Linked DNA regions of Caenorhabditis elegans. The protein of the gene in region 1 purifies or fractionates together with the protein of each later gene. This does not show direct contact. Each region holds a gene or a part of one and is shown in the gene's direction. Other genes may lie near its edges.

Evidence for each region.
Region 2: the proteins of Y47G6A.33 (region 1) and rab-14 fractionate together in Caenorhabditis elegans (co-fractionation; one large-scale study listed by BioGRID). This does not show direct contact.
Region 3: the proteins of Y47G6A.33 (region 1) and edg-1 fractionate together in Caenorhabditis elegans (co-fractionation; one large-scale study listed by BioGRID). This does not show direct contact.

The regions. Positions count from the first base shown.
Region 1 is NC_003279.8:3,559,647-3,570,044, forward strand, and holds Y47G6A.33 (C6 domain-containing protein), read left to right. Parts: upstream 1-4,393; 5' UTR 4,394-4,441; coding exon 4,442-4,493; intron 4,494-5,022; coding exon 5,023-5,309; 3' UTR 5,310-5,422; downstream 5,423-10,398. Other genes in the region: Y47G6A.21 (DeHydrogenases, Short chain), read right to left, coding at 1-150; Y47G6A.22 (DeHydrogenases, Short chain), read right to left, coding at 348-506, 560-623, 1,601-1,707, 1,759-1,938, 2,892-3,124, 3,177-3,198; lpd-3 (Bridge-like lipid transfer protein family member 1 C-terminal domain-containing protein), read right to left, coding at 5,597-5,734, 7,651-7,788, 8,574-9,026, 10,078-10,398.
Region 2 is NC_003284.9:15,599,792-15,610,797, reverse strand, and holds rab-14 (Ras-related protein Rab-14), read left to right. Parts: upstream 1-4,162; 5' UTR 4,163-4,181; coding exon 4,182-4,287; intron 4,288-4,433; coding exon 4,434-4,678; intron 4,679-5,170; coding exon 5,171-5,289; intron 5,290-5,352; coding exon 5,353-5,515; 3' UTR 5,516-6,163; downstream 6,164-11,006. Other genes in the region: Protein nipi-3, read right to left, coding at 579-1,234, 1,286-1,466, 1,514-1,865, 1,995-2,191, 2,245-2,826; ent-2 (Equilibrative nucleoside transporter 3), read right to left, coding at 7,474-7,788, 7,833-7,918, 7,968-8,480, 8,567-8,661, 9,068-9,234, 9,549-9,725.
Region 3 is NC_003282.8:11,314,513-11,326,520, forward strand, and holds edg-1 (Protein edg-1), read left to right. Parts: upstream 1-6,287; 5' UTR 6,288-6,293; coding exon 6,294-6,377; intron 6,378-6,427; coding exon 6,428-6,540; intron 6,541-6,589; coding exon 6,590-6,860; intron 6,861-6,904; coding exon 6,905-8,170; intron 8,171-8,276; coding exon 8,277-8,460; intron 8,461-8,519; coding exon 8,520-8,741; intron 8,742-8,784; coding exon 8,785-8,828; 3' UTR 8,829-9,124; downstream 9,125-12,008. Other genes in the region: B0035.3 (Macro domain-containing protein), read right to left, coding at 1-75, 123-362, 410-455; pfd-4 (putative prefoldin subunit 4), read left to right, coding at 696-782, 833-964, 1,038-1,199; gspd-1 (Glucose-6-phosphate 1-dehydrogenase), read left to right, coding at 2,909-3,034, 3,088-3,294, 3,711-3,786, 3,831-4,083, 4,142-4,443, 4,505-4,642, 4,695-4,896, 4,948-5,124 and 1 more; B0035.18 (Mitochondrial cytochrome c oxidase subunit VIc/VIIs domain-containing protein), read left to right, coding at 5,808-5,956, 6,008-6,131; his-47 (Histone H2A), read right to left, coding at 9,544-9,927; his-48 (putative histone H2B 4), read left to right, coding at 10,233-10,604; his-46 (Histone H4), read right to left, coding at 11,506-11,817. UniProt on the Caenorhabditis elegans protein: Plays a role in regulating deps-1 cluster formation in the germline.

The DNA.
Region 1 (10,398 bases):
TGCACCCTCTGAAATACATAGTGCTGCGACTTCCTTCAAAGAATCCGTATTTCTTCCGGTCAGCGAGAGTTGGTACTTTTTTTTCGCGAACAGAAGAGCCGTGCCTTTTCCGATTCCCGAACTTGCTCCGGTGATGATGGCGACTGGCATTTTCGGATACTCTGAATAAATTCAAAACTGAATCAAAAAAAAATCGATTTTTTTTCAAAAAAAAAAAAAATTAAGCAAGGAAAAAACCACTATAAAGGATTCAATAAAAACACAATTAAAAAAAATACATGTATCTCTCTATTTATTACATGATAAAAGTTCAAAACAATCTCAATATGAGACAAAAAAGCTAATATTTATCTCGGATGCATGATTCCGCGGCCTCCGTCAACACGAAGAAGTTCTCCAGTAGTGAATGAACTTTTCTCAGAGGCGAGGAAATAGATTGCCTCAGCAACTTCATTGGCATCACCGGGACGGCCGAGTGCGTGTGTCGTTTTACTACGTTCCAAGAACTGAAAGAAATGATGATATTTATTTGTCAAGGTCAGTGCAGCAGGTTTTATACCGCAGAATATGTTGTCTCGTCTTGACCAGATGTACGATGCAGGTTGGTCACGGTGACCCCTGGGCTGAAATTTTTGGAGAAATGACAAATTTATATGGGTTTATTAAGGGAACACAATATTTTGAGAATGCGTATTGCGCATCATATGTGACGCGCAAAATATCAAAACTACAGTAATTCTTTAAATGACTACTGTTGCACTTGTGCCGATTTACGGGTTTTTTTATTTATCAAAAGATTATTGAAAATGAGAAAATAATACGAAGAAACGAAGAAAATAAATTAATTTCCAAAATCGAGCCCGTAAATCGACACAAGCAGTACAGTAGTCAGTTAAAGGATTACTGTAGTTTTGATATTTTGCGCGTCAAATATGTTGCGTAAGACGAATTCCCAAAATTTTGTGTTCCCGTAATACGTGTGTTGTTAGCGTTTCATTCGACAAAAAATGAGAAAGTTAGCGATTTTTGCACCAAAATACGGTAACCGGTCTCGAAGCGATCTTTTTTTTTTCAATTCAAAAGTGCGTGCGCCTTTAAAGGAGTACTGTAGTGTACTGTAGTTACTTACTCCTAGTTTTTGCGAGATTTTTAAAGCAATTTTCCATAGTTTAGCTCCTGTCTTTTAAAAAATTCGTTTTTATTCAAAAAATATAAAAATGCATCAAAATTTGAACAAAAACAAGAAAACCTATGAAAATTCGGCAAAAAGTTAGAATTTTCAGGAAATTTTCCTAGTTTTTTTTTGTGATTTCGTTCTTACTCATATTTTCCGATAATTTTTCGATTTTTCGAAAAAAAAAAAGCCAAAAATATTTTCGATTTCAAAAATAAATATTTTTCCGATTTTTCGCAAAATATCTTGAAATTTTGACAATTTTTCTTCTTTTTGGAAGAAATGTATATGTTTTCTTATTTTTCGAATATTTCTTTAAAAAACCTAAAAACCGAAAAAATCGTAATTACAGTACTCCTTAAAGAGAATCGATCGCTTCGAGACCTGGCACCGTAGTTTTTTGGCAAAAATCGCGAGAAAACTCACCAAACAGCATTAACACGAACTCCATTCGGAGCCATTTCGAGAGCCAAACATTTTGTGAATTGATCTACGGCCGACTTGGACATACAGTAATAGGTTACATTTGGGAACTGAAAATTGCGAATTTGAAAATTATTTTCAACAAAAAAATAACATCATACAGGGCACGGTCCATTAATACTGCTGACATTGACAACAGTTCCTTTTGTTGTAATAATATGTGGAAGAGCTGCACGTGTCAGGCGGATCAAACTACGAACATTCACATTCATTAGCTCATCGTAGACTTCAATTCCAGAATCGAGAACTGGTCCGGCACGCAGAATCCCGGCCGAATTGATCTGAAATTTAGAATATTTTAAGGGTTTAATAATTCAAGAATCGGTTGGAGAGTTTTTTTAAATGTTTTCGTTATCCCCATATTTTCTTTTTACAGGTTGGTGCAATTTTTCTCGAAAATAAAAATGAGAAAACTCTTTAGGCAGAAATTTGGAAAATTCGAAAAAAAAAGTATCTAAAAAAGCGCGCAAACTTTTTTCTCAAAAAATTTTAAAAAATAAAAATTCTAAGATCTCTGAATCTTAATGTGAAATGCGACAAAAATAATTTTAATTTTAAAAAAAATAATTAAATTTGGGTGCAAAACTGAGCTACAGTACTCGCATATACTACAGAATTTTTTCAAATTTTCCTTCGATTTTTATATATAAATTTTAATTTTTCAAACAGTTTTTTATCGAAAAGTATAAAATTCGATGAAAATTCCGCAGAAACAAAAGAAAATACAGTACTCTTTAAAGGCGCGCACCTTTTTACAAGTTGCAAAAATTAGTCGTGGTGAGACCAGATACCGTATTTGTAACGCAATAGTAGTCGCAAAACTTCACATTTGGATAATTTTCTGTGCATTTTTTTACAAAATTCGCAATTATTACGTTTTCAAAAAGAATTTTGAACTAAAATTTTTTATAACGGGAACACAAAATCCTGAAAATGCGTAATGCAACACATTTGACGCGCATAATATCTCGTAGCGAAGACTACCGTAATTCTTTAAATGACTACTGTAGCGATTGTGTCGATTTACGGGCTTTATTATCTTGATTATGAGAATCAAGCCCGTAAATCGACACAAGAGCTACAGTAGTCATTAAAAGAATTACTGTAGTTTTCGCTGCGAGATATTTTGCGCGTCAAATATGTTGTGCAGTACGAATTCTCAGAATTTTATTTATTTTTATGTTCCCGTAATAGTTCTAAATTTTATTATAACTTTCCAAAAATAACCCCCCACCAATGTGTCAATTCGTCCAAACTTTTGCACAGTCGCATCCACAATAGTCTTCGGAGCTTCTTCTGAAGCCAACTCAACAGCGGTCACCAGTACATCATTCTTATCACTTCCAGCACTGACAATTTGCCCGGCGAGCTCATTGAGAGCCGCCACATTCCGTCCGGTAAGTGAGAGCTTGTAGTTGTTCCGGGCGAGAAGAAGAGCCGCCGCACGTCCAATACCAGAACTTGCACCTGGAAAAGAGGGGAGAGGAATGGAATTTCAAGTATTTAGAGTCATTATTACCTGTGACAATTGCGACGGGCATGGTTGACCTGCAAAATCAAAATTAAAATTAAAATTGAAAATTGAAAATTGAAAAAAAAATCTTTGAAACAAATAATAAACGGCATCCTAAAAAAACGAGACCCAGAGAAAAATACAAATTTTGTTTTCTCCGCTCCTGATAACACATCACACATCAGGAGTTCAACTTTTCCAAATTTTTTTGCGCGTAAACTGTGGTGCATTAGGTACATGACTCAATGCATCACATTTGACGCGCAAACTTTTTTATTTCAAAATCCATGTCAAACTGTGGGTTACTGTAGTTGATATTTGAAAAAATTGCTATTTTTGTGCCAAAGCTACGGTGCCTGGTCTCGTCGCGATAAATGTATGTTAAATGTAAAAAGATGTGCGCCTTCAAAGAGTACTGTGTCAATGAAAATTCCAAAACGAGAAATTACAGTGCTCTTTAAAGGAGCACACCTTTTCGTATTTAACAAATATTTGTCGTGTCGAGATATGGAGAAAAAAATCGTAAAATTTTGATGCAGAAAAATGCGATTTTTGAAATCGAGGTGCAAGCGCGCTCCACGGTCAAATGGAAAAGCTCCGCCCCCAAACGTTGGGTCTCGTTAGGTATTACCGCTTTTTTGCCGATTTCACCTGTTCTCAAGCATTTTTTCGTGTTTTTTCAAGATTTTTATATCGAAATTATGTTTTTAAAATTGCATTTAAAAGGGAAAACCGTTATTTAATTTGATTTTCCTTAATTTCGACACATAAAACTAGTAAAATCGGCAAAAAACCATAAAAATTCCCGGTTGTCTCGCCAATACCTGACGAGACCCAACGTTTGGGGGCGGATCCTTTTCAGTTGTCCGTGTCAGTCTGGAAACCTATATTGGCTACTATCTCGAAAACCATCACAAAATCGATTTTGCGATGCATATAAGAAATGACCGCAATGAATATACCTATCTTTATTTGTGATGAATTTTCGATTTTGTGCTTCCTGCCCAAGTTATGCACGTTTGTTCGGTGGAGTGCGTTTGCACCCATCTAGCAACTGAACCACCGTGAAAAGCGCATTTTTCTACGTCTCAATAATATTTCCCTTTGTTCAGTCTTTTTTTCCCGTTTCAATTCAAAAACTAATCAATCATGATGAAGGAAGTTTTGTGTGTGGGGCGGGGTGAGCGTTCGTCGCCGAAAAAAAAACAGCAGTAACGATATTTAAGGCTGAGAATTAGGGTTTGAGTACTGATAGATAGGTCAGCGGCGAAATGTTCAAGATCATTGTTCTACTGGCTACGATTCTGATCGTCACTGTCTATGGTGGGTTTTTTGAGATTATTGATTTTTCAACAAAAAAAAATTCGAATAATGTTTAATCACCCAATTCATTAAAAAAAAGAAGTGTAATGGGATTAATGAAAAAATAGGATTTTTTATAAATAGTTTTTAAAATTTGACGAATTTTTCTGCTTTTCGCCAGATTATTTGAAAAGTGAATTTTCGTAAGGGGAGTCAGAATGTCCTATTTGGGTTTTGATCTTCAAAAAATGCGGGAGAAGAGACGCAGACTTCTCATCTTATTTCGCCTGGTTAAGAGCCTACTGACGTCACAATTTTTCCGGAAAAATATTCCCGCATTTTTTGTTTATCAAACCGCAATGAGACAGCCTGACACCACGTGTTTTCAAAAATATCAATTTTGTACAGGGAATTTGTTTATTTCCCCAAAAATTAAATTTTTTTTCGAATTTGCGCGTCAAACATGGTGCACTGTCGTAGTTCACTGACCCAATGCATCAAATTTTACGCGCAAATGCGGCCCTAAATGAATAATTTGAATAATTTCCAGGTGGCTGCCCCGGCATTTCCAGCATCTACCTCCCCCGCCGAGTCAATTGTCCCCTCTGCGATTTCGCTCCATTTTCTCAAGCTGTAACCGGCTCCGGCAATCAATATTCGATAAAATGCCCCGCTGGCTCTGATGTTTGGTACTACAATGAACAGGGACGTGAATTCGTGACCCCAATGAGTAAAGTTGGATCAAAAGGAAGCATCAAGTGTGATGGATCGAAATGGAAGATCAGTGTGCCCGGACAAAGTCAGACACTTTCTGCGTTTGCGTGTGGATCCTCGTAATAAGATATAAATAATCCAAAAATTGTTAGGAAACTTATCAAATGAAACTAATAAATACTAGTACAAATGAATTATTATTCACAGAAAAAAATAAATAAAAATAGACAAATCACAGAAGCTCATTGGAAATTATTTGGTACATTTAAATATTTGTGGAAGCAGAAATTGGAGGAAAAAAATAAATAATTAAAAAAAACCGTAAATCAGGCAATAGAAAATATTAAGAAGCTGCTGGCCAATAATTGTTGACTAGAAAATTAGAAAATACATGAGAAAAAAAAAATCAATTAATTGTGTTTCGGTCTAAACGAGGCGTCGGAAATATCTGTAATAATATCGGGAATATCGATTGAAACGGAAACTTCTTCGCTCGAACGACGGCTGTCTCGTCGTTTTGGTGTCGGTGCCATCGAGTCCGTTCGACTCTGAAAATTTTGGTTTTTTGTTGAAATTTGGAGGCAGATACTGTTTTACTACTTGATCTTTTACTACGTATCTCTTTTACTACAAGATCTCTTTTACTACGAATTCCGCATTTAGATCTTTTACTACAATTGGCTCTTTTACTACGTGATCTCTTTTACTACCATTTGACCACATAGATCTTTTACTACGGAAAATACTTTTTTACTACCTCATCTTTTACTACGTGGATCTTTCACTACGGTTTCATATTTCGATGTTTTGCTACAGTTTGTATCTTTTGCTACGGTAGACATTTTTACTACAATGGCAGGGATTGTACTTTTCACTATGTTTCGTATCTTTTACTACTAATTTTTTACTACGAATTAAAAATTAATGTCTATAGTATTTTATATTCTAGATATAAACAAATGTATGAATAGTTTTTTTTTAATACATAGGTCATAATTGTAGATGGAGTTAATGGGGTTAGACTGTTGGGTTACTGTAGTGGTATTGTGGAAATAACAGTTTTCAGATTATATAGTGTTTTTTTTTAATTTCTAGAAATTTATTCACTATGAAATGAGCAGAACTTATTATGGCCATTTGGATCTAGAAATTAAAAAAAAACACGATATGATCTCTTGCTCTCTTGTAAAACTTTTGTAAAAATTCCAGAAACATTTAAAAAGTCCTCTATAAATGTTTTAAAACTCAGAAGATTTTCTGAAAATGAAAATGTAGGTATCCTATCTCGGTCGTCAATTTATTTGTCATAGTTTTCAACTACAAAGTTGTTGAATATGGTATGATCTACGATTTGTCAGTTGAACATTTTTTTACCAAATTGTTTTCTCGCGGAGTTATCGGTACTTGGAGTCAATACGTTTTATGAACTAACTTTTGACAACTTATCTCCGTTTTTTTTTCAAATCTAAAATCGTGATTAGAAAAAAAACATTTCTAAAGTGTTGATCAAAAGTTTCAAAATGTCAGCTGAAGTCAAAATTTTAAACACCTGACAGATAACTGACCGAACCCACAAGTTTTTTATTACATTATAGACTTATACATATAGACATTATAGACAAAACTTATAGAGCAACGGGTATGGAACTAATTTGTTGGCTACGCGAAAAAAAAAGAATTACTCCCACAATACCACTACAGTAACCCAACAGTCTCCCTCCATTAACTCCATTTACAATTATGACCTATGTATTAAAAAAAACTATTCATACATTTGTTTATATCTAGAATATAAAATACTATAGACATTAATTTTTAATTCGTAGTAAAAAATTAGTAGTAAAAGATACGAAACATAGTGAAAAGTACAATCCCTGCCATTGTAGTAAAAATGTCTACCGTAGCAAAAGATACAAACTGTAGCAAAACATCGAAATATGAAACCGTAGTGAAAGATCCACGTAGTAAAAAATGAGGTAGTAAAAAAGTATTTTCCGTAGTAAAAGATCTATGTGGTCAAATGGTAGTAAAAGAGATCACGTAGTAAAAGAGCCAATTGTAGTAAAAGATCTAAATGCGGAATTCGTAGTAAAAGAGATCTTGTAGTAAAAGAGATACGTAGTAAAAGATCAAGTAGTAAAACAGTATTTGCCAAATTTGGAGGATGTGGAGCAGGGGTGGGCGGCAAGCGATTTTTCCGGCAAATCGGCAAATCGCCGGCATTGAAAATTTCCGGCAAATCTCCGAACAAAAAAAATTAAGTTTTTTCCTATTTCCAAAAATTTGAAAATCGAGAAATCGAAAAAGCGAAAAAAAAAATTTTTTCCATATTTTTTTTAAATTTTGAGTACATTAAAAAAAATTCAACTTTAGGTAATCATTTTTTTATTTTAAAAATAACTAAATAACGTTTTTTTTTGGCTTTTTTTCCAGAAATATGTCTTTTTAACTCCGAAATCCTAACCTTTTTGAATTTCTGAATCGTTTTCTTGTTATCCACAATTTGCAAAGTGGCAATCACTGAAGCGGCAAGTGTGGCGTCAAGTGGATCGAGCACTGCTCGCTGAATAACTTTTGGAATCGTATTTCGATGATCGAATATCTGGAAGATGTATTTTAATTTTAATAAACTTTATTTGAATTTTTGCAGAAAATTATTACCCAACCGTGAAGTTTTGCGTTTTTATCGCCGAAAAATACGGTACCTGGTCTCGAAACGACAAATTGTTGTAAAATGCAAAAATATGTGCGCCTTTAAGTACTGTAATACTGAAATTCTGTTTCTGCGGATAGTTCAATTTTTTTCGTAATTCGTTAAAATGTGTGTGTGTGTGTGTGTGTGTGTGTGTGTGTGTGTGTGTGTGTGTGTGTGTTTCATTGCAATATTTTGGTTATTTAATTAATAATTATATTTTTTTTCCAAAAATTATAAAAATTCCGCAGTAACAAAATTTTGAAGCTACAGTACCCTTTAAAGGTGCACGCCTTTTTTCGTTAAACAAAAATTGTCGTGTCGAGACCGGGTACCGTAGTTTTGGAACGAAAATCGCAATATTTTATATTTTTTACGTCTGGTAATCAGGACTGAATCCAAAAAAATAAAATTTTATTAAAAACTCGAAAAAGGCCAAAAAATCACATTTTTCGGCAGTTTTCTTTTTTTTATTTCGAAAAAAGCGAAAAAATAAAAACCCTTTTTGAGCATCTTATCAACTTTTTACTGTAATTTTTTCAAAAAAAAACGCGGCGCAAAAATCGCAACATTTAGTGGCTGGGTCATATCCAAATAAAACATGGCGCATCGACTCGATGCACCATGTCAAATATTTGGAAAATAGGTTTAATAAGAAGCATTTTTTCTCAAACTTTCAATGAAAACGCTGAGACCTGAAGTTTTTTGAGAATATCATCAAGAACCGGAGGCGTCCATTTAATTCGATCAATAAATCGAACTCTCGGCTCTACTTTCCATTCTTGGCACGTGAAGATTCGAGGATCTTTGCTAGTTTCCGATACAACTGATTCTTTACTTGAAGACACTGCCGGAGACGAATTTGTCGAATGAGATGATGATGTGCCACTGTGTGATTCTTTCAGATAGCTTTTCAAAAGTTCCGGCAAGAATGAGACTTGTGCGTTGAAATTCGTCTCAATCGCCACTTCACTGAAGAAATCACACACAAATGTCGTGAGCACGTCCATTGGCATTTGGAATACTGATTCATACTTGTCGCCATCATCGACTCCGTTCAGTTGTTGTGACGACATTTTCGCTTCGAGACCCGGAAATTGGAAGAGTTCCATCACATTGTGATTCGTGGCAGGACCCGATTCTTTTGTCTGAAAAATCGTTAAATTTGTATTTTTATACAGAAAATTTGAGTTTCCAGATTGTTTTATTTTCTTATTTTAAGTGCCAGAAGTATTTTTTTTTAATTTGTTACTTTAAATTTCGGAGCGTTATTAACTTTTTTAAAATTAGAAATCGTCAAATTTAATCATAAAAATTTGAAATTAGAAAAAAAAACCCATTTTCAAATTTGGACTGCATTTTTTTAAAAAATATTCCTTATTCGTTTTTTAACTTTCACAGGAAAAATTATAAACATAATATTTTTCGTTGTATGATTCCGTATAATGCAAAAATTTCAGAAAAAGCGTAGCCTTCATTAAATTTTTTGATATTACTTTTTCCGTTTTTTTTTTCAATTTATTCGCATTCTAATGAATTTTTAACGAATGTCTACCGAGAAAATTTTCAGAAATTTCAGAAATATCGAATTTTTAAGAGAAATATTCGAAATTGGCAGGTAAAACTTTAGAAAATGAATTTAAATTGATTTAAATTGAAAAAATCAACAAAATGATTTTGAATTAATTTTTTTTTTTTGGAAATATTTTTAAAATTAGCCTGTTATTTTTAAAGAAAAAAACATTATTAAAATTTTTTAATTTAATTTTATTTCGATGCAGTTTTCGTGTCGAGACCAGGTTTTTTTGCTGAAAAACAGTAATTTTTGACTTTTTCGATTTTTTTTTGAGAAAACCAAAAAATTGTGCGCGAGAAAAATATTTTCAATTAAAAAAAATCGAAAAAGTTCGATTTTTTTTTTCAAAAACAGTAATGTTTTTTTTTCGGTTTTCAGAGAATATTTAGAGAAAAAGTTTTACGAAACGATATTATTTTAAAATTAAAAAAAATCGAAAAATTCGATTTTTTCTTTTTTCTTTTTCAAAAACAGTAATTTTTGACTTTTTCGATATATTTTTTTTTTTGAGAAAATCAAAAAAAATTGCGAAACGATATTATTTTCAATTTAAAAAAATATAGACAAATTTCGCTAATATTAAAAATCTACAATTTGCAAAAAAAAAAAAGAATTTGCAATACCTTAGAAGTGCCAGGCGACCTAAATCTACTAAACGTAGAAGTCGGCGATTTCGCCGTATTCTCATTCTCAGAAATCGGCGATTGAATAACTTCCACTTCTTTCAACTTCTTCTTCTCACTATGATCTGCAGATCCAATAATCTTCATGACGTCACCAATGAAAAACTCCAAAATATCCTCTGCTTTTTGCAAATGTCGAGAATTATTGAATCGTGTCTGTACTCTACACACATTTGCTCGATTCTCAGTCTGATTTCCATGTCTGGATCCAAGTTGTAGACAGAATGTTTGTTTCAGAAGAATTCCAATTTTCTGCTGAGA
Region 2 (11,006 bases), on another chromosome or scaffold:
TAGCAGTCAACAACTTTCATTTTTATTTTCAATTTCCAATGTTGCATGACTTTTTCAAATTACCAACTTGCACGTGAGACGTGTCTGTTGCGAAATCGAACTTTCTGCTTGCAATGAATTCTGCTCACTTTTCAATGATAAAGTTCTTATCTCGAATGCAATTCTATTTCGTCGTTTGTGACCCAATGTTTATTGATAATTCACAGGCTTATCGGTTTTGTAAAAGAGTTTTGTGAATATGTATATTATAGCAGTGCTACAGTATCGAAACTTCTTGCGAAAGTTTGAATGCTGACTGGGAGGAGACAGGGAGGAATACACATTGGCAGACCTTATATGAGATAAGAGTAGTTACATGAAGTTGGAGATTGAAACAAAAAACAGACATGATGATAAATAAAACACCCATAGAGGTAGTTTGTCGACCTTGAATTACATTACAGATTTTCTAAAATATTCGGAATTTTGAAAGTTGGTAGAATAAGAATTTCTGACGAGTTAATTACAAGGATGCGAGAGAACATACAGAAAGTTGGAAAGTACATAAAGAAAGCTAGCTATCTATTTACATGTTCTATTTAGGAGGGCGATATGTCAAGTCCCTTGAACACCGGAGGTGGATATGATTTCGGAACGGTCCCTTTCATAACAGTTGGAAACGCCAGCGAATTGGCGTCGGACAGAAGCTTGTAGACGACTTTATCAACTGGCTGCTGGCTTGGGTGATAATGTTCGCTAATTGGGTAAATGTCACCGGGAAGCAGTAGCTCTTTCGATATATCACTGCATTTCAGTTGGACCAGTCTTGGAGCACGATGTTGCTTTTGGGCTTGGCTTACTTCCTTCTCGAAGAATAGTTGGTTGATCTGTTGCAGGCGAACTTGCATCACTAATGTTTGATATTCAGTTGGTTTCGTTTCAATTCGACGTTTCATCTGCTCTTGAATTGAGCGAAAATCTCTCTTTGCCATTTCGGTGAGAATTGTTGAATCATTTCTGCAAGCCTTCATTTCTTCATACATTGGGAGTACGTTTTTCGGAAGAAGTCGATCTTTATAGGTGTTGTAGTACATCTCGAACAGGTCCATCTTCACAATCATATCCTGTTTCTTCAGGATTATGTTGGAACGACATCTAATTTCCGGGAAATCTCCATTCACTTGATTCCACAGATCTTCGAGATTCATTCGGGTTGCTGGTGCTTTTTTTAGCAGCATGTTCACAATGTTTCTACCTAAAATAGGCGCGGAGTTTAAACCATTTCAATTTTTTCACTTTGACCTACTTTTGGAGGATATAAAATTAAACGGCCAGCGATGTTGTTTGAATTTGATGGTACGGAACAACAGTGGCATACTATTCTCATGGAATGGATACTTTCCAGTTAGCAATATGTACAGTAAGACACCAAGTCCCCAAAGCTCGGTGCTATAGCTATGATGTGTTCTCGACTCGGCAGTGAGCATCTGAAATTTTATGTTTTTTAATGTGGAACAATATTTGAACTGCAAACCTCCGGAGCCATGAATGGAACGCAAACTGATCTACGAGTAAATTGCGCTTCGGACTGATCTTCCTCACAGCTCATGTCTTGAAGGAAGCACGGACGAACAACCCATTTGTTATGTGCATCTTTCTTTAGGTAGAAGCTTCTAGGCTTGAAGTTTTGGAGAATCACTTTTCTCGAATGACAAAATCGAACAATCTCCACAACCTTTTGGTAGATACTCATCACGTCGTTTTCAGTTATTTCATCAAGACGCTCGGTGGCGTAGGAGTGAATTGTAGCCGATTCGCACGGATTCATAAGAATGTATCTGTCGTTACTCTTGATAATTTCCATTCTCTTTGATATGCAGAGTTCGCTGAATTATTCAAAGATTGTATCAACTTTCTGACTTTATGACGTCAGCGTCCCGATTCTGACTTTTACTTTTTAAATGATTTCATAATCCCCCCTTTGTTTCATCATATGAGCATTTTTTTTGACTCACCTTAAACGGATTTCATCAGCGGTCATGGATGAGATGTCGGTGGGGATTTGAAGTCGTCGAATGACGTCAATCACTTTCGACGCTTTCCATTCAGGAAGCACGTGAGCGGTAAACATTTCGCGAGTTTGTGAGCAAACAGCGCGAGTAACAAGACCAGTTCCATAAATGACAAAGATTCCGATAATTTCACCGTTAACCTTAACATTGATTCTTTTGAATGAGAAGATTTCAAATTTTAATTTCAACTCACCAAGTGTTGGGCACTATATGGGTTCACATGTGGTGCGGAGCTGGATGTAGCTGAAAACTGCTTCGACTTCTCCTCTTCCTCGAGTTCCTGGATCAAACGCAAGTACTCATTCTCATTCAACATTGTTGGTATGCGTTGTTCTGCTGGATGATCTCCATTGTTATATAGATCCGCAGCCGGAACCATAGATCCACGTGTCAGTTGCACGTAGTGATCATTCAACGCTTTGATGATGTGCGGGGGTAGACGACCCAGTGGACGAAGTTCAAGTGTTTTTGCAGGTCCGATTGAAGAATAGCAGATTGGAAGCGTCGTGCCAAAATTCTTTGGATCAATCTTCGGAGCATTGCGAACTCTATAGTGGTACTCTGCTTTGACATTTGGGAAGACGACATTCTTCTTGGCTAGAACATCGTAAAACACCCTTGGACGACTTGAGGTATTTCCAACAAAAGGAAGAGTTGTGGGCCTCCTTCTTGAAACGGCATCCTGACGAACTGGTTCAGAAAGATCTTTTGCGGTTTTTCTGACTCCAGTTCTAGGATTGGCTACGGTTTTGGTTTTGCATTTTGTACGAGCCATACCCTGAAAAACAAAAAAAATAATGTTTAGGGAACATTGTTACAAAAGGAGAAGAAGCAAATGAGATAAAGTTGGTAGACTACAGACAAGAAAATGCAAAGAATGATAACCCTAGAATTGGTAAGAATGAAGGGGTGTTATTGCGAAACATTACTGGCTGCGAGGGTTTCACAATGAATTTTCCGTTTTTTTTTTTTTTAATATTTCGCAATACTACATTGTAGATGACTAGAGGGAGGACCGCCCTTCTTCACATATCACAGAAACGACGAGAGGAATCGGAAGAGAGCGCGTGGCGATGAGAGAAGCTCGTGCATCAGCAGGTATTGCGAAATATCATCGCGGCACTACGATCAACACAAGTGTCAGAGAAGGAAACTACGGGGACCGAAACGAGAGATAGAGAATGAGTGGGTAGATGGTCGAATAGTGATAAAATCAAATGTCTCGAGAACTGTAAGACTGTTCACAAACGAGTTGTAACCGATTAGGGGAGCCATGGTTGGAAATTGAAGTCATAATTTGCAATTTGATTAGGCTATTAAGCATATTTAATATTATAGTATTTTACTCTGTTCTGAAGATGAATTTGAAGAGCAAAACAAGAAGCAGGAGGAAATAATTGTTTTTTCCATGTCTTAGGCATCTACGTATATGAAAAAGAAAAAGCATGATCTCTTTGGAACAAGGAAAAAGATAGCTGGCTCAACACCAATGACAGATGAATAAGGAGAAAAGCTAGAGCCCACACACACGTGCGCATTCACTCGTCATTTCACTCTTCTCTCTTTTTGTCTCTCTACGTGTTTTTTTCTTCATCTCCAATCCGTCTCCTACGCGGCACATAAGGCGAGAGTCAGACAGCACAGTACAGCGCACACCGAGAGCGAGACGTTAGAGACACGCAGTAGAGACCAGTTCCGTTGCAAGCGTCGCGGTCGATAGTACGCGACGCGTCGTTTCTCAGAGAAGACAGAGATAGAGGAATGGAGGGGCCCCCGTTTTTGTCCAGTGTCTCTTTCCTCGTGATATTCCATTGCGTAGCACTCCTCGTACAACTGCTCCTCTCTCTCTCTCCGACATTGCCTCTTTTAGCTTTCTGGAGGCCAATGGATTCTCTATTGCTTTTGGACGTGGCGTTCATCTTTCTCTATCCCAACTACTTCCACATTTGTCTCTCTCTCCCCGTCGGTTTTCCCCTACTTCCAACTAATGACAACTTGGCAGTCAGTCTCTAATAGCCACTTTCTTTTGTGTGGTCTATCTATTCTCATTGCTACTTTTTTGTATCCTTTTTTCTGAAACGAATAACCAAAATATAATCCGCAACTTTCAGGTAACAAAAACACATAAAAATGACGGCTGCTCCTTACAATTATTCGTATATTTTCAAATATATTATTATTGGTGATATGGGTGTCGGAAAATCGTGTCTTCTTCATCAGTTCACAGAAAAGAAGTGTAAGTCCCGCATTCCTGGAAAATCGATATATCATGTTGTTTGTGTCAACATTAGTCATCAACAAGAGACCTGTTCCTCCGGTCAATAACCACCGTACAATCACTGCGGGCAACAAACGCAAAAACTAACTATAACTAACTTTCAGTCATGGCCGACTGCCCGCACACAATCGGCGTGGAATTCGGCACCAGGATTATTGAGGTCAGCGGACAGAAGATCAAGCTTCAAATCTGGGACACGGCGGGCCAGGAGCGATTCCGCGCTGTGACGCGATCATATTATCGTGGAGCAGCCGGAGCCTTGATGGTCTACGACATCACTCGCCGTTCTACCTACAATCATTTGAGCAGCTGGTTGGCCGACGCAAAAAGCTTGACCAATCCAAATACGGTAGGTAAAATATATACTTGGTTTATAATTTTTACTCAAAAGTAGGGTTGAAAAATATATAAAAACTCGAATTTATACTTTATAAAAGCATTCCCAAGTTCCAAAATTAAAGCGAATTTGAACTTTCAGCAAAATTTCAAAACTACATAGATGTACGCCATGTTTAGTAAATTGCAATTTATGAATTTTTGCAAGCATAACATTTATTTGCAGCTCAAAAGATCGTAGACTATAAACTGAATTTCAATCAAAATTCTCATGAATCAGATTTAAGCTGGAAAACATTCAATCTGTATGTGCTCTAAATTGTGTGTTTTATCGTTAAACTAATATCTAAAAAAAACGAGTTAAAATTGGGTTATCTAGTTTTATTTGGAGAGTTAAAAATCTACCTGTATTAGTAAGAAAACAGTATTTCGTCCACTTTGCACTGATTTAATTTTACAATAAAAATGAGATTCAAGCACCAATTCTCACAAGTTCCTTTTTCAGGCCATCTTTCTTATCGGAAACAAAGCCGACCTCGAAGATCAACGTGACGTGCCATACGAGGAAGCAAAAGCTTTCGCCGAAGAAAACGGGCTCACTTTCTTGGAGTGCAGTGCGAAGACGTAAGTTTCTTCCCCCCACCCCCCCACTGCAAATTCATCAATTTCAAATGGCTTTTTTTTCAGTGGCAGTAACGTCGAAGACGCTTTCCTCGAAACGGCCAAGCAAATCTATCAGAATATCCAAGACGGAAGTTTGGACTTGAACGCCGCCGACACTGGCGTCCAGCCAAAACAGAACTTGCCACGTGCAGCTGAAAATAATGGGAAGAAGGACTGCAACTGCTAGTTGATGTGTGCAAAGTCCCTTCTTCCCCTCAAATCATTCCCAATTGATTTTAATGTATTTTTTTAAATTATTACTTTCTAATCCGTCTATCTGTATGTGAGAGCTTGTCACCCATTATCATTAAAATGCCAGAAGAATCAACATTGGGTGGTATGGTTTCTTGTTTCCAAATTCTAGTTGCCTGTCAAAATCTAAACTTGTAATCACTATAAAACTACTCTGAAATTCAGAACTTTGTGTCACTTTTACTTACCAATTCCCAGTCTTTTTCAGTCCCCCACCCATTACTCACTATCATCATCGAACTGTGAACCGTTCATAATATAACACTTTCGCTCACCCAACCAACTGCATATTTAGTAGATTTTTTCTGTCAAAAACCGTTTTGAACATTTTTCCCCCATTCCTTGTGTGATAAGAAACATCTATATGATCCCACCCCATTAAGTGCTATAATTGTGCTTTGAAAATCAAAAAAACTAACGATTTTTGTCATTTTTGTCACTTTTCCTTATAAATAGTTCTCTGTTGTTAGTTTTATGAACCTATGATTTCAGAAAACTTTTTCAAAATTTATTTTTTTTGTTTAATCATTTTTCAGCAAAATTCAATTGTACATATAATATTTAAAAAAACTATTCATTGAAGCATGAAGTGCTCAATCTTCAAAGTTAACATCACCAGTAATAGTCAAATGTGTTTTCAAGTGTGCGTAAATTTTTCTAATGACAGAGTAATCCGTGGCTGAAATGGGATTCTAGTCACGGGTGGGCAGCAAACGATTGTTTCCGGCAAATCGGCAAATCGGCAGATTGCAGGAATTGCAGATTTCCGGCAAATCGGCTAATCGGCAAATTGCCGATTCGCCAAATTTGCTGGAAAAAAAGAAACTTGCCAAAAAATTTCTGCAAATTGTGGTTTCGCACTTATTTTTTTGGAAATTTTAGAATTCCAATTTCAAATGACAAAATTTTACGCATCCTATGAATATTCCTACATCTATTTCGAAAAGTAAGCAAATTCTATGAAAATATGTAGACAAAACGGAAAAAATTCAAAAAAAAACGGTTTTAAGAGTTTCCGTTCTATAAAAAGTCCCTCTAAAAATTTCCGGGAAATCTGATATTCGGCAAACGGCAAATCGGCAACTTGCCGAAAATGAAAATTTCAGGCAAATCGGCAACCCCGCAATTTGTCGACAATTCAATTTGCCGAAAGGCAATTGCCGCCCACCCCTGATTCTAGTTACTCACCTAAATTAGTAAACTGTCAGAAATTTGAAAATTTGCGTAAGCACATTTCGCTTCACCAGTGCAATTGAAGCGCTTAGGCATAGCCTAAACTTTCTTGTAATCTTTATGAGATCTTAATTTTTCATAGATGTTGTGAACAACAAGAATTGGAAAACGATTGAATTCTAGAAACTATGTATAATAAGCTCAAAAAACAGCACCTGGATAGGCTTACAAATTAATACCACAATCATTTATAATTACTCAAAAATAGTATTAACCAAATAATTTATAATTTTGTGGAGATCTTACATAAACTACCAAAACTTGAAAACATATATTACAGCTTTTTACAATGTTAACCTTAACAAGCATTCTTTATTCACAAAAAGGGATAGTCGTAAAAATTGCAACAGAATAAAGAAAAAAAACAACGAGATGGAGCTGCGATAATACTTGAGGAAGGAAGAGAAGAAAAACAACGAAACAACTAATAGATTGAGGTATTTGGGAAATACAAAGTGGTATTTAAAGGATAGAAAAAAGGAAAACTAATAGTAAGTGCACTTGAAATTAACGATATTAATATTTTGAAACCTTGAAGGGAAGATAATTGGGTTAGTAAAAAATAAGATACAATGCAATGTTCTTGTTATGCAAGAATTTTTGGTTAGAGCATTGATTGCGCTAATGAGGTGTCTTTAATGTTAGAAGTTTTTGAAAAATTTAGGCAGTGACGACAAACTTGATGACCATAGTGAAAATGAGACCTGAGACGATTCCTGAAATGAGGAAAAATCCAGCCATCATTCCAGCCACCTGAGCCTTTGATGGATCGACAGTCTTTGAAGTGTACATCATGGAGAGTCCTGAGAAGTATCCACTTCCGAAGCTCATCGATGCGGCCACAATGATGAAAAGCCACGTGGATTCGAAGAAGACCGGGAGTGTGCGGGTCTCAGGGAGGTAGTTGCAGAAGATGAAGAATGGGATGTAGAGGAGACGGAGGTAGACTGGGATCCAGAGCTTGTTCGGGGCGGGCTGTAATAAAGACTTAATTTCTGTCAACTTTCAGAGGCACTTACCCATTGCTTTCTCCCGGCGACGATTGATCCGATGAAGGCAAACACGTTGAATTGAAGGAATGTGGTAACATCCATGAAGTAGTTCTCTAAAATTTAATTTTTTTTTTAAATTTACCAGCTTGGTGATAAACTCACGTGGCAATGGGAAATCGTAGGTTCCTCCTTTCTTCTCATCCTTAACGTACATCATGACTCCAGGGAAGATTGAAAGCGTGACGAAAAACACCAAAAATACATTAATAAGTTGTGGGAAAGCCTCTTTGAAGGTCGCAATGTAGTTTGCCATCTTTCCTTCGTTGTCAGCTGCTTCCTCATTCTTGGCGCGTTGTCTTTCGGCACGTGTGCTGTAAAACTGGTAGAAGCGTTGCTTCTTAAGGATGTGGAACGAGATGAAGCAGAAGACCAATGTGATCAACGCAATTGAAAAGTAGGCGAATGATCTATCCAGGATGTTGCGAGTGACAGCCTTGGTTGACATACTGAGCAAGGTAACGAATGTTCCGCACAAGTTATTTCCAATGATGACAGCATTGGTGTACTTGAATGGAAGTTCAGAAGCGAGGCCGAAGATACTGTTTTGATAGACTCCATTTGCTCCGTTCAACACGATGATTGTGATGATGGTAAGAGTGAAAAATCCAGTGAGCCCTGGAAGTATGTAGATTAGTTGAAAAAAAGAAGATATCGATGTTTGATGATCTGCAAAAAAAAGTTCACGTGTCCTTATCACTCACATGTGGAGGTTTCGACGTAGATGAAGATCATAGTAGTGATCACACAGACAGCTACGATGGAGAGTCCGACAGTGATGCGGCCAGCAAGTCCTCCCCTGAAAATTGAAGATGCATATTTGGAATTTAAAAAAAAGTTTTGAATTAATTGTGACTTGTTTTTTAGACCAGCATTATGAAAGTTCGTACTGTGGCAGGATCATTTCTCAGATTTTGGAGCAATTCAATTCAAGAATTAACTTCAAAACTTTTATTGATGTTACCTTATTGACCACGCTTTCAAAAAATATTTGATCACTTTTTCTTCAGACACCCCCTTCAATAATTATACCAACTTCTCAATCTAATTCGTAGATCTTAAAGAAACCAATCGACACCTTCTCCCGCGTGTCACATTTTTTTTGTTGCGAACGCCGGCGCATCAATTCATCATTTTCTGTCGACCTCTGGCACTTATCTCGCATGCCACAAGTTGGCAGCGCTGATAAGCGACGATGACCTTACTTGACGACAATGAAGATGTTGAGAAGATTGAGAAGAAGGTTCGGCACTTGGGAAGCGATTGTTTGGAAGCTTTGGAAGTTGGATGAATAGACCGTCGGGTCTCCGGTCACTTTTCCGGTGTCCATGTCGATTGTTGAGTTGGCGAGCATTTTGTACGATTCGAAGTACTGGAAATGTTCAGAAATTAGGATTAAAATCTTATCCTATTATTTTTTGGAAGTTTAATTTATAATTCAAGTTGTTCCTTAACCACAATTCAATAACTACGTATTTGTTTTAAAAAAATGTATGTAGATTAATATGATAAAACATTTCTGTAGCTCGACTAAAGCACCAGTGGATTTGGTTCCCAATTTCTAGATTCGTAGAGCTTGAGGAGCATTTTTTCAGTCTGTCAACTATTAATTTGGTTTTAAAGTACAAATGATCAATAAGACCGCTATGGCGTTCAAACTTTTTATGCACCCTACCCAAAACTCACGTCATAGGAGATGGTGATAAGCATGTTCCACGGCATAAGAGTTCCGATACCATGGAGCAAGATAATGTAGAAAACAAGGTTTCCCTTGTCCTCCGGCTCCGGGGTTTCTTCCTCGACTTCGGCATCCTCGACCTTCTTCGCCTCGTTTAACGGCTGAAGCTCCACTGCAGCGGACATAGTACCCTGGAAATATTTTGGTAGAAAACATAAAAAATGTAATATAAGGGATCATAGAGAAACAAAAAAAACAGATTGCAAGGAATAAATGAAATAAACAAGCTAATCGTATCGGAAATACGGGGCTACGTCGAAATACGAATGAAACGAGGATATATAAGTTAAAAGGCAAAAAGTAAATGCAAAAACCAGTAGCCCATCCCCTCTCACAGATATTGAAATTTACCACCCGACTTTGTTGATGATTCAAAAATGGCGGCTAGAGACTCAGAGAGCGGTGGGGGGAGGTGGGGTGCTACGAAGAGGGTACACACGCAATGGTGGGGGGAAAATGAGAAGGGAGAACGAATAGAAGGGTGAACGCGCGCAGACATGCAGATGTCTGTTGGCCAGGGTCACCAACCACACGTGTGTGTGTGTGCTCAAAAGAATGCTATTCATTTCTTGATAAATGATGACGTCACAGGGCAATAAGGATAAGAGCGAACTTCATATTCGTATTGTGGTAAGAGATTGATTAAACATATGTGTTTTAAAAGGGACTAAAAAGAGAAAAATCTAAAAATTTAAATGGAAGCTTTAAAATTTGAAGAAAGAATTAGAAAGTAGTTTTCTAAAATATATACTACGAGTTTACTACGATTTCGAAAGCCTTCGCCTATAAAAAATACCCTTTCTAATTTTCAATTTGAACACTCATCCTATTTTTTTTTTGAAATGAAATAATTCTGCTTCATGATCATCAACTTGTAGAGACACTTGCTCCCTATCACTTGACGTCATTTAACTTGATAGATTGATTAATTACTCTAGGTTAGAGGTCAAATTCTTATGACCCATGCTCTAGAAGTGTAAACTAAAACATTTATAAATAAATAGCAACTGTTGTAAAAATGAATCACTTTAAAACCTAATCATCCTGATAGCCTAACAAAAACTTTCACATGCACTTTAGTTCAAAAAATAGTGTAAAATGTGTGAATGGACAAATGACAGCTTCATGATGCATTGAGCCAACCATTTGATAGGTCGTTTTGAGTGTGTACTAGCTGCAACTCAAATGATAGATGATACGTGTCTGCTGTTTTTTGCAAAGTACTCACTTTCATTGTTTGCATTGATGAAACGAAAGATGGGTAGGTCAGACGGTAGCGCAAATAAAAAAATGGCTCTTTCTTAAATGTTGCCGTTTCTTTCTTCTATTATTTCATTTCTTTTTCTATTACCTACCGATAACCATAAAGAAGGAAGGAACGTCTGCTAGGCAAGGGGGAAATAAAA
Region 3 (12,008 bases), on another chromosome or scaffold:
AACATGCAACAAGATTTTCACGCCGTTCATCTGTGACATTTCCATATACTTGTGGACCAACTGTGTGGATTATTTCTGAAAATTCCAATAAAATACGATCAAACAATGCTATAAATACTTACTTTTGATGTGATTAATATTGCATCCAGAGGTAATGACAGCATCTCCGACAGCACATCCGTTGTATTGCTGGCATTCTTCCTGTAGTTGCTTCCGTCCAGCTGCACGATGAATTGCACCATCAACGCCACCACCTCCAGCTAATCGACTGTTTGCTGCATTGACAATTGCGTCGACGGAAAGTTTAGTAATATCTCCATCCCAGACACTGATACGGCCCAGAACGTTTTTGGCAACCTTGACTGAAAATTGTGTACTATTTTAGAATTATGAAACGCCTGAAGCTTACATTTTTCAAAGAGAGTTGGAATTTCTGAAATTTTAGCTGCTGCCATTTTTTATCAGCCTTAAATTTGAACTGATAGTGACTTAAAAACAAAACAAATTAGGATAAAACAACGCGTGGAAGAAATTGTTCACGAGGACTACACGCAACATGGACTAGAATTTCGTGCGGCCGTGGCTGAGTTTTCTTATTTTTATGTTTCTCTCTCCAGAATTTTCTGTTTAATATCTTTTAATGTTGTTTCTTCGTTGTTTCTTTAATTAAATCTTTGAATTAAAAATAATTTAGAATGCCGGAACACACGAAAGTTTCTGCTGAAGACCAAGCGCTTCTCAATAAATTCGCTCGGTCATACCAAACACAAACCCAGTTAAAAGTACGTTTTTTTTTAAATTTTACATTAAAGTTTCTCTTCTTTAATTTCAGGCAGACGTTAAAGAAGCTAAAACACTCATTGACAATATCAATGAAGCAAGTGATGAAATTTTGTTGCTCGATGATGAGGATTCAGCATCAATTCCATGCAGAATTGGAAGCTGCTTCGTTCATTTCAATGGGGTGAGCAGTTTTTTTTTTAATTTGAATTGAGAATTAACGTTTGGTTTACACGAAAGTAGTGATTGGTTTTCAGGATAGTCTGAATGAGCATTTGGAAGGAAAGAAGACAACAGCAGAGAAGGTTTTGTCTGAGAAAACCTCCGAGTTGGATGCAATCTCAGCGGACATGGAGCAAATCAAGAAGGTTTTGTACGCCAAATTCGGAGATCAGATCAATTTGGACGCTGAAGAATAATCTATAAATTCTAATTTCTTATTTTGCTCGATTTTGTATCTTTTCCGTTGAAGCTTTCATATATAAAAATTATCTCAATTTAAAAATTGCTTTTCTCACCTTTTTCACAACGTGTGCTCACTGTTCACTGTTTCCGCGTATTTTGCTGATGAATTTTTTCGACCGATTTTCCTTATCACGAATGGCACCACCCACTTGTGGGTCACACCAGATCCTAAATATCAATATAGTGGACGGGAAGAGGAAGGTTTTTTCGTGTTTGGTGTTCATTTTAGTTTACATGTTTTGTTTCCCATTGCTCTTTATTTATAGAGGAGACGCTCGCCCACGTAATATAATAGCATTTTGGAAAAATCCATTATCTTTCAGACAATCTTATCATGATTTCCACAATAGACTGGCTAGAATGTAGCATTCTAAATATTTGAATTTAACAGAAAATATTCAATTTCTCTTTAAAAAAATACTTGAAAATTAATTATATTCCCAAATTGGCAACATTCTTTCCCGATTGTCTTTCTGTCCATTTAATTTGTCTGCCCTTTCTTTTCTCACCTTTTTTATCCGTTTCTTTCTTTGTCACCTCCGAAGTTTTGTCAGCATTTTCCGTTTTTTTCTCCTCATATTTTGTTTGCACTTTTCACCTTCTAAAAAAATGATCGGCAGAGACACAAATAAATGTGGCCATTCGTGTGCTCCGTTTTCCAAATGAAACCCGATTGGCAGAATTTATGGTTGAAAATGCATAGTTATTTAGGAGTTGCAAAGAACAGTTTTCATTCTTCTTTTTCTTTGTCTTCTTGTTAATTTGGTAAACTGATCAGACGTTAATCAAATTGATAAACTTTCAAGTTCAGTGATTTTTGATTTGTTTTCTGAAAACGAAATTAGTTTTTTCTCTGATAGACTAAGTCTTCGAAGAATTCATCTTCCAGATAAAATCCAAAAAAAATGTGTTCCAGAATATCCTAGTCGGTCAACTAAAAGTCAAGAACCATAGATTAAATCTAGAGTTACAAAGTTTCGTCTCTTCTCCAGAGTCAAGTTACTCGAGTTTTTATGTTTCCTAGAGAAATACATTGTTTCTTTTCATTGTCGATCAATGTCGCCCAGAGAACATTATTTGTCATGGTTACCACTCGCACACACTACACAATTTCATTCAGTCATCATTTTTTGTGACCCGAGAAGATTTCAGTAAATATTTTCATGTTTGTAAAGAGACTGGCGCATCCACTTTTCTCTTACTGTTTCTTTCTTCTCTCGCTGCCCTGTGAAAAAAATGGAAGTGGAGTAAAAAGTGACCGATTTATAGTGTTGTTCCAGTTGTTCCAATTCATTTATATTGTAGACTGCGGTTCGCTACTAGGTATATGATTCGAAAGGAAAAATTACATTTTTTAGTGCTAGAAATTAACATTATTCCATTAAATGTAACTAGCTGAAAGTAAGCAGTTTATTACTCTGCCAGTAAAAAAGAATTGCGCAGAATCATTATGAAGTACATCAATATATCAATTAACGTATTTCTTTTTGATTTTTCGTTGTATAAATGAAACAATAATCTCACTTTTAAATAACATTTATGTGTATCTAGATGGTTTACTTTGAAACTTGTAGTTTCTACTATTTACCTCTCAACACGAGTAATTTTTGTGAATCAATGTTCGTCATTCTCACTTCAAAATCTAGTTTATAAATTTACAGAAATGGCATGCAAACGTCATTCAGTGTCCGATCCCATTTCGAAGGATCTCGTCGAGTGTCTTCGTGAATCAATGCAAAGAGATCTCAAATTTGAGACTCCGTACGTTTTCGTGATATTTGGAGCATCGGTATGACATCTATTCCATATATATCGATTATTAATTATTTAACATTTTTTCAGGGAGATCTCGCAAAAAAGAAAATATACCCAACACTGTGGTGGTTGTTCCGTGACAACCTTTTGCCAGTCAACATCAAATTTATTGGATATGCCCGTTCCGATCTGACAGTTTTCAAGCTTCGTGAATCTTTTGAGAAAAACTGTAAAGTTCGAGAAAATGAGAAATGTGCTTTTGATGACTTCATCAAGAAGTGCTCATACGTTCAGGTAAATCTACATCTGCTAATAAATAGGCGTGAAACTTTGTTCCAAAAATACAGTGCTCGGTCTCGACACCACAAATTTGTGTTAAATGCGAAAACGTATCACCTTTAAACAGTACTGTAGCTTCAAGCTTTTGTCGATTTCAGATTTTAAAAAAATTGTTTTAAAACTGAAAAAAAATAATTGCAACACATACATTTTTTTTACAAATCAGGTAGGAAAACTACGAAAACCAACAAAAACTTGAAACTACAGTACTCTTTAAAGGCGCGCACTTTTTTGCATTCAACAAAAATTGTGGGGTCGAGACCGGTTACCGTATTTTTCGCACAAAATCTTGTTACTGGGTAATAAAAATTTGAATCGAAGCTTTTTTCTAGAAACTTTGAACATAAAAAGCACCATTGACATTTTTTCAGGGCCAATACGACACTTCTGAAGGATTCCAACGCCTTCAATCTTCAATTGATGATTTCCAAAAAGAAAGCAATAATCGTAGGTTTAGAATTAAATTTCACTCAATCTAAGCAAATTTATAGAAGCCGTCAATCGTCTCTACTACCTCGCTCTTCCTCCATCAGTTTTCAACGTGGTTTCTACGGAATTAAAGAAGAATTGTATGGATCATGGTGATTCATGGACACGTGTTATCATAGAAAAACCATTTGGACATGATTTGAAATCATCTTGTGAACTTTCAACTCATTTGGCGAAACTTTTTAAAGAAGATCAAATCTACCGTATTGATCATTATCTCGGAAAAGAAATGGTTCAGAATTTGATGGTTATGCGGTAAGAATGTTTTTTCAAAGTATTTGAAGAGATTTATAATTTTATTTTGAACTTTCAGATTTGGAAACCGAATTCTCGCTCCATCTTGGAACCGCGATCACATTGCATCAGTTATGATCTCATTTAAAGAAGATTTTGGAACTGGTGGCCGTGCTGGATATTTTGATACAGCTGGAATTATCCGTGATGTTATGCAGAATCATTTGATGCAAATTCTAACTTTAGTCGCCATGGAGAAACCAGCAAGTTTGAATGCTGAAGATATTCGTGATGAAAAGGTCAAAGTGTTGAAAGCTGCTAAAGTTGTAGAATTAAAGGATGTAGTAGTTGGACAATACATTGCCAGTCCTGAATTTGATCGTGAGTTTTTCAAAAATTACAATTTTATAAAAGTTTTGATTTTTAAATACATTAATTTTAGACCCAGAAGCATCACAAGGATACAAAGATGACAAATCAGTTCCAGCCGATTCGACTACTCCAACGTATGCTCTTGCTGTTGTTCACATCAATAATGAACGTTGGGAGGGTGTTCCATTCTTCTTGCGTTGTGGAAAAGGTAGGGAATATACAAAAAAAAACCGAATTTTTAAATTTCAATATTATTGCAGCTCTCAACGAGAAGAAAGCAGAAGTTCGTATACAATTCAAAGAAGTCAGTGGAGATATCTATCCGTCTGGTGAATTAAAGCGATCCGAATTAGTGATGAGAGTGCAACCAAATGAGGCAGTTTACATGAAACTGATGACCAAGAAACCTGGAATGGGATTCGGTGTTGAAGAAACTGAACTTGATTTGACTTATAATAATAGGTTAGTTTTTGAAATTTCTCTTCAAAAAAAATTTCATTGTGATAATTTCAGATTCAAAGAAGTCCGTCTTCCTGATGCTTATGAACGCCTATTTCTCGAAGTATTCATGGGATCTCAAATTAATTTCGTTCGAACTGATGAGCTTGAATACGCTTGGCGTATTTTGACGCCAGTTCTCGAAGAGCTTAAAAAGAAGAAAGTTCAACCGGTTCAATATAAATTTGGAAGGTTGGTTGTGTTTCTTTTTTTTTAAAATTAAATACAGTAATCCAATTTTTCAGTCGTGGTCCAACTGAAGGTGACGAATTGATGAAAAAGTACGGTTTCATCTTCACTGGAACATACAAATGGGTTGCTCCAAAGCTATAAATGATACCAGATCTTCCTCTATTCATTCTCTTTCAAATGTTTGTAGAAATAACTTCAAAAATTCAGCAGCTACTAGTTCATATGTTTTCCTGTGTTCCACATCAATATTATTCCTGCTCTTTTTTCATTTGTTAATGTTCTATTGAATGAATGAAAATAAATACGTTTTCAGTTAAAAGAAGTGTAGAACGATAAGATAAGCCAGTAAAAAGGCTTATTTTAAATAATCTGTATTCAAAAAATAATCATTTTTTCGACAAGCCGGTTACGGTGCGCCAGTCCGCAAACACTCTGCATACACTCTACTTCTACAGTAGTGGACGTGCGACGCGTGTTGCGTCGCGCATCATCATATTGTTCAATTCTTGTTCAAGTTCAATCATATTTTCTTCGGATTTCTATCATTTTCCATCGGATTTCCCATCATTTTTGCACAAATGTTTTAAAGTATCAATATCTTTGATTTAAAAAAAAACGTCTTTCTTGTTTTACGTCTTTTTCTTGCTAGCTGCACATCGTATTACTCATTCTTTTTTTCAGCCATGGTTGCTGCTTCCGCTACCCGGAACATGCTCCAATCATATGGAAAACGTGGAATTTACGTTTCACTTGCTGTCGCTGTCGTCTCGACTGCCGCATTCAACGCATTTTACGTTTGGCCACGTCACAACAAATATGAAGAGTTTTTCGCGTCAGTGTGATCCTCGCACAAGTGTCTCCCGGGCAACGAGCAAACTTGCAGAAACTACGATTCGTACACTCGAATGAAAGAGATTTGTTCTGCTAACAAGGGGTACATGCATACTTGTCCAAAGGAATTGGCGAAATTGTACGAAGAGAAAGGGAAAGTTGTTGCCGAGCACTAAATGTTTGATAAATTATTCATAATAATACAAGTCAATAAAGTCTATCATTTCTTTATTCAGTTATTTGTTTTATTCTTGATCAGTACTTTGTGGTTTGTACCACATTCATATATTTTTATCTAAAATTTTCTATCCACGAAAAACCTCCCTTTATAGATAAAAATGGTCGAGAATAAGAGTTCGTACGAACTGCCTGATCAAAAAACTCTTGATATGAACAAAGAATGGGTGCAGGAGCTGGAGGATGTGAGTTTCCAATTGTTTAGCTTATAAATATATTTTATTTTTTATTTCAGATTTTCTACAGCTACAAGAAGTACGATGTGAACAAGGTCAGAGTTCAGCAGTTTTTGGACAGAAGATCCGATTTCCTCGTCTATGACTTTTACACCTCTAACCTGTCAATGGAGTATGTGAACAATGTCACCTTTAATAACCTCATTTATACAAATTTTCAGTGCGATGCAGTATTTCCAAGCAGGTGTAACTCAAAAGGACGTCGGACTGAGCAAAGACTACATCCTGCTCATGCGTAAACTGTACAGTATGCTCACGGAGCCGAGCAAGCAGTTTTTCCAGGAGCAATTCGTTAAGGAATGGCAATATCACGAAATTGATTATACGCCATATTTCGAAACACTCGTTCCCCGATTCAGGGAGAAAATTGCGAGATTATTGGATGAAATTGTCAAAAATCCTGAAGAGGTCGACGACGATGTTCAGGAAGAGGTTGGATTTATAATTTTGAAACAAAGTTCATATTGATATTTCAGTTGCGCTGGCACCTGCTCTTCTCACCAGTCACCACTCTTCTGGACATTTTCACTCGATGCCTCAAGAACTTCGAAATCACTGGATTTTGTTTAAATGTGTGCCTAAAAGTGCCACAATTGTTCTTCGATCGTCCGCTGAAAATATATCACACTGAATACGAAACCGATCGCGTTGAATCACTCATGGCTCTGGTTTTCCGCAGATTGATTTTCAATAAGCGCTGGGTGGATACAAGTGACGAAGAGTGGAGCAATTTGGAACAACTCGCAAGGGTGATATGCTCAGGACAGGAACCCTCGTTGATGTCTGCATGGCCACTTCTGGAAGTGGTGCTTTGCGAACTCTACACTCAGAACAGAACTCCCATGATATCAGTGGAAGTTTTGAGCGAAATTGCTGTGAAAATTGTTGAAAACTTCGATAATTTGAAGTATGCCACGTCGGCGAGAACTAAACCAGCTGAGAATGTTCTTTTGACTCCTTCGATTATTTGTTTCTTGCTCAACATTATTGTTGACGAGAACGTATCGAATACAGTCATTGAAAACTGTAAAATGATTCTCAAGGCGATTGGTCAAAACATGGAGCAACCGTTCGATGCTGAAGCGAAGAGCTACTTAACTTCTAAGGTTTTGAAAGAATTTCCGTGGACCTTAGAATTCGCAATCTCAACGTGGTTCAAGGCTCTGGAAGTTGAGAAGCGACGCATTCCATCAGCAGTCTACAAAGCAATCAATGCAGAAATGAAGGAGACATTCGACGAAAGAACTTTCGATATCGAGGAAAGCGAAACTGTTGATCAATCGATCAATGAAGAAGACGAAGAACGTTGTTCGACTCTATCATCTGAATCTTCAGTGAAAACTGCGATATCTATTGACCATAAATCGGACACCGCTGTTGATAATCTGGAGATGAATCAACTGCATCTGAGCCCAAAGCCCAAGGCTTCTGTAGAGGCAGTGAAAAGCTGTAAGCCCGCTTTTGTCGCAGTGATATTCGAGGAAATTCCACCCGAAACTGATCAAAACATCTCAGTTTTTGAAGATCCAACAATTGAAGTTCTCACGGAATACCTCGATTGTATCATCACAATGGGAGTGTTCGACATCTCGTGCGCCGACGAACTCATGCGTCACAGTTCAGTCACGTTCGAATCCTCAGAACAACTGGAAAAAGTAATGAAGACGGCGTTTGAGGAGAATTTCGAGATCGCAAACGCTGGTCCACAGCGTATCAAAGAGATCTCTGGGAAGATTTTGGAGGTAATGTTTTGTCATTGTCACTAGGAAAGATTTTAATTTGAAAAATACACTGAAAATGAATGGAATGCTTTTTCGTCGTGTCTTTTCTGATTTTCTAACTTTACAGGTTTTCGGCTCAACCTCGTCGGAATCGGACCACGACCGTATCGCTTCATCGATCATAGAGCTCATTCCAACAGAAGAATATGAAAAGACTGGGCCAAGATGGAGTCATGATATAAAGAAATCGGAAATCATTCAGCCTCTGGTTATCCCAGTCGAAGCAACGTTGGAAAGCTGGCCACCAGCTGGTAAGAAAATATAATTCAAAAGTAATTATTATTTCATTAATAATTCTGATTTCTTGCAGAGTACCGTTACGTTGCTCCTGGTATCAAGGAATCTCGTGACTCTGCACGACATGAACGCCTACTACGCCAGCAACTTGCAACAACCAAATCTTTGGAAATGGCTCAACTTCATCGCGATTTGTGGGCGGAAAACGAGAAAAATATGGAGCATTGGACACGCCCAGCGTCCCCTTGCAATAGTTCATTTTTCGCTGAATCTAGCGTGAAGCCAACAACATCAAGTATGGATTTTAATGCTGATTTTTTCAATTATAATTATTGCAGGCGCATATGGCAACTCTTCGAATTTCTCTCGTTATGCAGACTGATCGTCTCTGAAACTTTCTTATAATGTTCCTTGTGTTCCTTTTGTTACTTTGTTGTTAATTTTTCGTTCTTGTTTTTTGTTGTAAAATGCTTTATGCAGGTTTTTACCTGACACTGATTTTGAGCCCACCAAGTCTTCGTGATGGAACTTCTACCCATTTCAAAGACTTCGGGATTAATTGTTTTCCCTCTGAATTTTTTATAATTTTTCCCGATTTATTCTACCTCACCGTGAACATTTTAACCCCTTAATTATCCCATGAGACCGCTCATTTTTATAAAATCGGTAGGACGCGAATTTCTTTGTTTATTATGGCATTGTGATATAGTGGGGGATGGGGTGGTATGCAGGGCTTAGCTCATGGTTTTCCTTAGTTTTCTGACCGATCGTCAAATATAGGTGAAAACTTAATAACAATATTGCATTCAGGGCTCGAATTTCAAGCAGACCGCTTATAAATGCAATACAAAATTTATTAAAATGGGATTGAAAAATTGTAATTATCGTAATTCTAGAATTTCCTCATACGTTTTCTGACAGAACATGGAAGGTAGAAAACTTTATAACAATATTGCATTCAAGCAAACAACTTATTAAAAATAAATGTAATATGAACTTTATTAAAAAATTTATTAATGGGAAAAAGTAGGATTTTGTATATTTGTGGCCCTAAAGAGGCCGTTGGGTTCGGTGGGTTTGTTTAAAGAAGAAAGTTCTTACTCCTTATCTCCTCCAGTCTTCTTTGGGAGAAGAACGGCTTGGATGTTTGGAAGAACTCCTCCTTGGGCGATGGTCACTCCGGCCAAAAGCTTGTTGAGCTCCTCGTCGTTGCGGACAGCGAGTTGAAGATGTCTTGGGGCGATACGGGTCTTCTTGTTGTCACGGGCAGCGTTACCGGCCAACTCGAGAACCTCAGCAGCGAGATATTCAAGAACAGCGGCCAAGTAGACTGGGGCTCCGGCTCCAACACGTTGAGCATAGTTTCCTTTGCGAAGAATACGGTGAAGACGACCGACTGGGAATTGAAGTCCAGCTCTTGATGAGCGTGACTTGGCCTTTCCTCCGGTCTTGGCTTTGCCTCCCTTTCCACGTCCAGACATGATGAGCGATTGGTGTTCGTAAGACGAATCTGAAGAATGAATCGAAACTGTCTGTTTATATTCATTTCTACGGTGGAGGGGCGGAGTTTCATGCGGGGACACCTCTATTTGAACATTCCGCACTCTCTGGTAGGACACATTTCTCTCACTTCTCTTTGTCCCCCTATTAACCTCGGTACATTCGGAATTTTGTGTGCACTCAGTAATGTGTCCCCGCGGGAAGCTCCGCCCCTCCACCGCAGTTTTTACATAAATAGGTGTCTCTCCAACCATTTCCTCATACTTGATTCAAGTTCATTCTCATCATGCCACCAAAGCCATCTGCCAAGGGAGCCAAGAAGGCCGCCAAGACCGTCGTTGCCAAGCCAAAGGACGGAAAGAAGAGACGTCATGCCCGCAAGGAATCGTACTCCGTCTACATCTACCGTGTTCTCAAGCAAGTTCACCCAGACACCGGAGTCTCCTCCAAGGCCATGTCTATCATGAACTCCTTCGTCAATGATGTATTCGAACGCATCGCTTCGGAAGCTTCCCGTCTTGCTCATTACAACAAACGCTCAACGATCTCATCCCGCGAAATTCAAACCGCTGTCCGTTTGATTCTCCCAGGAGAACTTGCCAAGCACGCCGTGTCTGAGGGAACCAAGGCCGTCACCAAGTACACTTCCAGCAAGTAAGCCATTAGGCTGAAAACTACCCCACCGAACCCAACGGCCCTCTTTAGGGCCACAAATCTTATAATCCTATGTTATTAACCAAGTGAATAAATAATTTTCAATTATACTCTTTCATAATTTTCAGGTTTTGCATTTTCCAAGTTCAGTTAATTTGAGATTAACCCAGTATTCATTTTCTAAAAGTCATTCTTTCAGAGAGAGAAATTCAAAGCATCTTCGGAATTCTATCTTTCAAATTGTAGATGGGATTCTTCGAATATTTCCAAAAACTTGTATTTCCGTAGTTTATGAAGTTGCACAGAGAAAGGGAAGCTAATGGCCGAGGCTTATAAAAACTTTCGGTTTTCAATCTTGTTGGAAAAATCTCGGGTCATCTCACAAAATTGGTTGAAAAATGTTATGAAAAACTATTACTACATCAAATTACAAGAAGTTTGAAAAAACGCTATGAAATAATTACTTGATTTCCGATATCAGGCGAGATATATGATTCAGGCACTGGTTTTCAGGCTTCAAGCTTTCTTCCGCTTCATGTTCTTGGATATCTAAATCATTTCGATCACCAACTTGAATTATAAAGTGAATTCATATGGTTCGGGAAACAAAACTGTGCAGACTTTCATATACCCTTTTGTAAATAAAATTGAGAACGAACGAAGAAAATCGAATACCGAATGTCTACTTGCATGCAATTCTAATTTTAAATTTAAAAAAAGTATGTAGTTGTGCAAAGCAATAAAGAAAATATCATGTCAACTTGTATTTGAAAATGCTAAAATAGAAAAATCAAAATTATTTAAGATTTATTTAACGAGATCAATTAGGATTTTGGATATTTGTGGCCCTAAAGAGGGCCGTTGGGTTCGGTATTTGGTTTGTATGAAAACAGAAAAGATAATAATTATCCTCCGAATCCGTACAGAGTTCTTCCTTGGCGCTTCAGAGCGTAGACGACGTCCATGGCGGTGACGGTCTTTCTCTTGGCGTGCTCGCAGTAGGTGACAGCATCACGGATGACGTTCTCAAGGAACACCTTCAAGACTCCACGGGTTTCCTCGTAGATCAATCCGGAGATTCTCTTGACTCCTCCTCTTCTGGCGAGACGGCGAATGGCTGGCTTGGTGATACCTTGGATGTTATCACGGAGAACTTTGCGATGGCGCTTGGCACCACCTTTTCCAAGGCCTTTTCCTCCCTTTCCACGTCCGGACATTGTTGAATTCGTTGAAGACTCACAAGTGAGATGAAGAAATGACATCACAGTATTCCTTTTGTACACAGCTGTGGTGGCTAGGCGGAGTCACATTGCACCACTCTGCGAGGACACCTTTCCTTTGTCTGTAACACACCGAATGTTCTAATTGCCACAAGGACAGAAGTGCGCCCGCCCGCCCTCCCACCGCA